Saccharomyces cerevisiae S288C: one gene and its partner. Changing the gene in region 2 together with the main gene of any one other region gives a genetic interaction. Each region holds a gene or a part of one and is shown on either strand. Other genes may lie near its edges.

What was found.
Region 1: mutations in CDC60 (region 2) and UPF3 together harm fitness less than expected from each alone (positive genetic interaction), as found in Saccharomyces cerevisiae (2 studies listed by BioGRID).

The regions. Positions count from the first base shown.
Region 1 is NC_001139.9:632,241-636,000, forward strand, and holds UPF3 (Upf3p), read left to right. Parts: upstream 1-2,063; coding exon 2,064-3,227; downstream 3,228-3,760. Other genes in the region: ENV11 (Env11p), read right to left, coding at 1-1,823; mRNA splicing protein SMD1, read left to right, coding at 3,472-3,760. UniProt on the Saccharomyces cerevisiae protein: Involved in nonsense-mediated decay of mRNAs containing premature stop codons.
Region 2 is NC_001148.4:245,088-248,847, forward strand, and holds the start of CDC60 (leucine--tRNA ligase CDC60), read left to right. Parts: upstream 1-1,902; coding exon 1,903-3,760. Other genes in the region: BEM4 (Bem4p), read right to left, coding at 1-1,133.

The DNA of each region.
Region 1 (3,760 bases), on a different chromosome or scaffold from region 2:
TCATCAAGTAAATAAAGGTCTTTAACTTTTAGAAGCCTTGCTAGGATTTTTTCAAAGGGCTTTTTAGATTTGGTGAATTTGAAGCTTCGTATAATCTCTGTCAAATATAACTCAAACTTAATGATAAAAACCAAGGTATGGGTAAATTTCAATGGAGCGGAAGAAGCAAAGTACTCAATTGATTGCTCGAAAGTTCTTAACGTCTCTTCTACCGTGTTTATTAGACGAAAATCGGATTCACTAAGTGATTCATTTTCTAAATGAGAGTTGATAGACTTGAAGAAAGGAACTAAGTTTGCAAATTTTTCTAAGATACTCTTCAAAGCTGAAAATCTATCGCAGTTACAGGAAAGGATTGAAGTAAGTTCATTGCAGTTAGGTTGTGTATAATTTTGGCAGTATAATAGGAAATCCGATTTTAGGGAGTCGTTTAAGTTAACTTCTTCTATCAAACAGCATATTTTGCCGAGAATAGTAGATGATAAATCAATATGGGAAAAATCTATTAATGAGTCTAACAAAGAGCCTCCTGAATGATTTTCTTTGGCCACAGAAAAGGAAGACAGCATTGATTCAGTAGGAACATTAAACAACGGCTGTAAAAAACAATGAAGTAATTCAGATACTATGCAAGTATGGTACTTTATCTCCCTCACACTCCCGCTATGGAAAGTAAAATTATGACTGTTTCTATTCTCTAGTACCATTGTATAATGGCTTTGAGGCAAAGTTATAGAAATCACCGATTTTTGTAAGCCAGGGTATTTCGAATACAAATTGTTGAGCTGTTCCTGCCAGACACTAATATCTATATCCGTTGTTTTACGTACAAAAATAGATAATGGTAAACCCTTCGAAACTTTGTTGGTATTATCGAACAGTTGCAAAGAAAATAATGATCTTTTTCCAGCCAGTTCTGTAAAATTTACAGAAATAAGATGGGATAAGTCCAAGTTAGACAATTGTGCCCGAATTTCCCTAGAATATTTCAAGTAAAGAGGTTGATTTGATTCCTTACTATCGGATAAATGGATAGTAAAGGGTAATTGTGTATCATTCCTTGATATAGACCTTCTGATCAACTCATCAATTGATTTTGACAACCCTATAATTGACTCCTCTATTATATTGGTAGTTAAAGGAGGGATCCTATGAAATTTTGATAAAAGAGATTTAAAGGACACATTCTCAAAGAAGTTCAGCGGTAAATTTTCTGAGGCTATGACTATGGCTACTAATTGGGAAATAGAAAGGTAATTACTGCTCTGTAATTTTCCTATGTCAAAGCATTTGAAACTTTGGTCGGAATTGAAGGTTAACGAATCATAGCCGTGTCTACGTGTAATTTCTGTGCTGGAAGTATTGTTTTTGAGATTGGAGTCTCCTACTGTGAAATTCATGGAATAGAAGTTTTTATTGGCACTTATATTATGCTTTGTTTTCAAGTGAGATCTAAAGGTTTTTGTCAAACTTGCATCGCTTCTTGTTAGTATCTCTCCACAATGTTTACATTTAACTTTCGTTAATTTCTTTTCAATTGCTAGAAAATGGGACCAGAACTTTGCTATATTCTTCTTGAGCATTTGAACCGGAATCCATATATTTAACCCATCATTTATGATTTCGTCTTCCGGATGAATTCTACTTGATAGGATTTTATTGCCGTCTTTTTCTATAAGTTCTATATCCTCAGTATCGTCTTCTTCCTCGTCTTCCTCCTCATGACTAGTAGAGTGAGAAGATGAATGATCAGAATTATTGATGATTTCGTTATCTTCTAAAGTCACCAAATCCCCATGTAAATCATCCAATGCAGTGTTCATATTAATGATTGAGTAGATTGGTACATATGCTATTTCGGAAGACTTTTGTTATTCTATGGTTTATCATCCCTTTATTTATTTTGTGTATTGTTTGCTGATCAAAAGTTGAAAATTTTTCGCCTAAAAAGTAAGATACAAAAGAAAATATTGTCGATGATTATTGCATGAATATATCAGCAAAGAGGAAAGGAAAACCTACTGAGGGACTTACATTTCTGCTGAAATATATAGTAATCTATCATGAGCAATGTGGCTGGGGAATTGAAGAATAGTGAGGGGAAAAAGAAAGGCAGGGGAAATAGGTATCATAACAAGAACAGAGGAAAAAGTAAGAATGAGACGGTAGATCCTAAAAAGAATGAGAATAAGGTTAATAATGCTACTAATGCTACCCACAACAATAGCAAAGGCAGAAGGAATAACAAGAAAAGGAACAGAGAGTATTATAACTATAAAAGAAAGGCTAGATTGGGTAAATCAACCGAGAATGAAGGATTTAAGCTTGTTATTAGATTGCTACCTCCAAATTTGACTGCAGATGAATTTTTTGCCATCTTACGAGATAATAATAACGATGATGGTGATAAGCAAGATATCCAGGGTAAACTCAAGTACAGTGACTGGTGTTTTTTTGAAGGTCATTATTCTAGTAAAGTATTCAAAAACTCGACATATTCTCGGTGCAATTTCTTGTTCGACAACTTATCAGACTTGGAAAAATGCGCAAATTTCATTAAAACTTGTAAATTCATTGATAATAAGGATAATATTACAATTCCAGATATGAAACTGTCGCCCTACGTAAAGAAATTCACTCAAACATCAAAAAAGGATGCCGCGCTAGTAGGAACAATTGAAGAAGACGAAATTTTTAAAACATTTATGAATTCAATGAAACAGCTGAATGAAAATGACGAGTACTCATTCCAAGATTTTAGCGTATTGAAATCTTTAGAAAAAGAATTCTCAAAAAGCATAGAGTTAGAAAATAAAATAGCAGAAAGAACAGAAAGGGTGTTAACAGAGCTGGTTGGAACTGGTGATAAGGTCAAGAATAAGAACAAAAAGAAGAAAAATAAAAACGCCAAAAAGAAATTCAAAGAAGAGGAAGCATCCGCTAAGATACCAAAGAAAAAACGGAACAGAGGCAAGAAGAAGCGTGAAAATCGTGAAAAAAGCACCATTTCTAAGACCAAGAACAGTAATGTGGTTATTATTGAGGAAGCGGGTAAAGAGGTTTTGAAACAAAGGAAGAAGAAAATGCTTTTGCAAGAGAAGTTAAAAATATCAAACTCCTCTCAGCCTCAGTCATCATCCGCTCAAACCCAGCCGTCGTTCCAACCTAAAGAAAACCTTTTCGTACCACGGGTAAAAATTTTGCATCGTGATGATACCAAGAAGTAGTAAAAGCTCATGGCTTCTTATATATTATATATGGAATACATTTATAATAAAATAATAAGAATTATATATTTTATGATTATATTATTACATAAAGTATTCCCCATTATAAATTCTGAGTTTCGTATTTAATGATTTTTCAATGAATATTTAAAATAATAAAATATATGAAATGTTCATATACAATGAAATTGTCATGAAGAAAGATGACTCCAAGTATCGTTTATAAATCGTCGAGAAAAAGATTATGAAGTTGGTTAACTTTTTAAAAAAGCTGCGCAATGAGCAGGTTACCATAGAACTAAAAAACGGTACCACCGTTTGGGGTACACTGCAGTCGGTATCACCACAAATGAATGCTATCTTAACTGACGTGAAGTTGACCCTACCACAACCCCGACTAAATAAATTGAACAGTAATGGTATTGCGATGGCTAGTCTGTACTTGACTGGAGGACAGCAACCTACTGCAAGTGACAACATAGCAAGTTTGCAATACATAAACATTAGAGGCAATACCATAAGACAGATAATCT
Region 2 (3,760 bases):
CATAATATCATCAAAGCTGCGGCTAGGGCATAACTACTTGCGGAACTCTTAATAGTTTCGATACATAATGATTGCTCTCGTTTGTTAGAGTTTGTTAGGTTGGCGGAGATGTTGCCTGCGCACGATATGAGTCTTCTCATTACAATTAGCTTATTATTGAAGGTTTTTGATTCTAAGCAAACTAAGGACAATATTAAATTTTTTTGCATGCTTAGCACAAGCTGCTCCTCATTGGTAAAGTTTATAGTTTCATCCTTGGCTACAATAGTTTCAAGACATGTTGACAGATTTAATAGCAATTCACAATTAACGTCCTCCTCATCATCTTCTTCCTCTTTTTCGATGTACTCTTGATTTCCTTGGCCAGCGAACTTCTGAGTTTCAGTATTTGAATATGCTTCGACTGCTCCATCTTCCATTGCCTGCAATTCTTTATTTTGCACATTTGAAGAGATTTTTTTGATGTACTGGCTTAAGAAAAAGAGATCGCTTATTTGAACATTTGAGTAATTGACTTTTAAAATATCGTTCAATAAATCTGAACCTAAAACAACTTTTTCGGGAGATGACAAATAGCTATATTGTGTGGTTTTCAACAAAACAAATAATGGACCTCTAATGAAGGGAGCCAAATTTTCTGTATACTTGAGATTTCCAATGCAAAAATTCCTTAGTAGCACAACTGACCGCATCTGTAATTTATCCACTAAGCTATCCTCACTCTTGTCAGAAGAAATTTCGTCCAGCTGAAGAACCCCGCCTATATAATAATTAAGAAGCTTTTTACCTCCAGAATCCAAGAGAATTTCCCGATTATCATCATTATCAATTATTGCGTTAGCGATACATCTAATCACTTCAGAACTGATCTCATAAAACGCTATTTTATCATTAATTGAAATGCTCGTATCATGAAAGCAGATATCAAGCGCTTGTTCTAATACTCTTACTAGGTTCAGTAGCAGCCCAGTTTTACCAACAATATCTCTATTACTTGGTTCTCTCAACGAAACAGCCAATTGGTCCATTACCGCTAGGTAGCTTCCTAAGTAGACATCGTTCATCGGAACATCCTTTATTGAAGACGCATTGAGGATCGGTTGCAGACCAAATAAAATTTCTTCGTAATCCATTTAGTAGGACAGTTATTTTCACTTGAAACCACAATCTTTTGGGGCTGAAATATAGATGAGGTGATTTGTTATTCGCGGTTAGTTTTAGTTCGCGAGTGACCTGCTTACGTTGTCTTCAGCCATTTTACGTTGCTTGGCTTGCCGCCGGCGGGTAATATGATCTTATTTTGACATGGTTAAAGAAAAATACTTTTGACTAAGTACCTTTATCACAAGAAAGTTTAGGAAGGGATTCACTATTTGAAGATCAGACAAATGAGTATACGATATTGGCTCAATATTTTAGCCGAGTTTGCTTAAACTTAGTGGCAGAACTTTAGTCATGGGAAGACAAGAACGATCTTACGAGGCCCTTAGGACCTCGGCGGCTAACAGTAAAACTGGTAACTGACGGACAAGGAATATCAAGGTCATATTTTGAAAAGGTCTTTTTGGGTGACTACTTGGGTAAGAAATAATTAGACGAAGTTTCTTTCTGATGTGTATTGAACTAGTGCTCGTGCTTACATACACATCGCCCATTATTGCCTATAGTTATCCTCACTTTATACGAGGTCTGGCCGTTAACGGTTCTTTTACATTGAAAAACTAAATCAGTCACCCACGCAAATAATGAAAAAAAAAAAAAAATCAAAAGCGAAAAGAAACCTAACGCATATTCTATTCAAACGTTGAATGATTGTATTATTATAAATCATAATCACGTAAAGCCACCGAAATTTTTTTCCAGAGTGAAGAATATAAAAAAAATATCTTTAACCAGTCTATAATGTCTTCTGGTTTGGTCTTAGAAAACACGGCACGTAGAGATGCGTTAATCGCCATCGAAAAGAAGTACCAAAAAATATGGGCTGAAGAGCACCAATTTGAAATCGATGCGCCATCAATCGAAGATGAGCCCATTACAATGGACTCTGAAGAGTTACATCGCACGTATCCTAAATTCATGTCGTCTATGGCCTATCCTTATATGAACGGTGTTATGCACGCCGGCCATTGTTTTACTCTCTCCAAAGTCGAATTTTCTATTGGTTTTGAAAGGATGAACGGTAAAAGAGCTTTGTTTCCATTGGGTTTTCACTGTACAGGTATGCCAATCTTAGCATGTGCCGATAAACTAAAGAGGGAAGCCGAACTTTTTGGCAAGAACTTCGACAATGTACCAGCAGAAGAAGAAGAAATTAAAGAAGAAACGCCGGCTGAGAAAGACCACGAGGATGTTACCAAATTCAAAGCTAAAAAATCTAAAGCCGCAGCCAAGAAGGGCCGTGGTAAGTACCAATTCGAAATCATGTTACAGCTTGGTATCCCTAGAGAAGAAATCATTAAGTTCGCCGACGCCAAGTACTGGTTGACCTATTTCCCACCTTTGTGTGAAAGTGATTGTACTTCACTTGGGGCTCGTATCGATTGGAGACGTTCTTTTGTCACCACTGATGCCAATCCTTATTACGATGCCTTTATTAGATGGCAAATGAACAAGTTAAAGGCTGCTGGTAAAATCAAATTCGGTGAACGTTATACTATTTACTCTGAAAAAGATGGTCAAGCTTGTATGGATCACGATAGACAATCCGGTGAAGGTGTTACACCACAAGAATATATTGGTGTGAAAATTGAAGCTTTAGAGTTCGCCGATGATGCCGCAAAAATCATTGATTCAAGCTCAGATCTTGACAAATCCAAAAAATTCTACTTTGTCGCTGCCACGTTGAGACCGGAAACTATGTATGGACAAACATGTTGTTTTGTTTCTCCAACAATTGAGTATGGTATATTTGACGCTGGTGATTCTTATTTTATCACTACTGAACGTGCATTCAAGAACATGTCTTACCAAAAGCTAACACCAAAGAGAGGCTTCTACAAGCCGATAGTTACTGTCCCAGGTAAGGCATTTATCGGTACCAAGATTCATGCCCCACAATCTGTATATCCAGAACTAAGAATATTGCCTATGGAAACTGTCATTGCTACCAAGGGTACTGGTGTCGTCACGTGTGTACCATCTAATTCACCAGATGACTACATTACCACCAAGGACTTGTTGCACAAACCTGAATACTACGGCATTAAACCTGAATGGATTGACCATGAAATTGTTCCAATTATGCATACCGAAAAGTATGGTGATTTAACTGCAAAGGCTATTGTTGAAGAAAAAAAAATTCAATCTCCAAAGGATAAGAACTTGTTAGCAGAAGCCAAGAAAATTGCTTACAAGGAAGATTACTACACTGGTACCATGATATATGGTCCTTATAAAGGTGAGAAGGTCGAACAAGCCAAAAACAAGGTTAAGGCTGATATGATTGCCGCCGGTGAAGCTTTCGTCTACAACGAACCAGAATCTCAGGTCATGTCACGTTCTGGTGATGACTGTATCGTTTCTTTGGAAGATCAATGGTACGTTGATTACGGTGAAGAAAGTTGGAAGAAACAAGCAATTGAATGTTTGGAAGGGATGCAATTATTTGCTCCTGAGGTAAAAAACGCATTTGAAGGTGTTTTGGATTGGTTGAAAAACTGGGCTGTTTGCCGTACATACGGGTTAGGTACCAGATTGCCTTGGGATGAAAAATACTTAGTTGAGTCTTTATCAGACTCTACTATTTATCAATCATTTT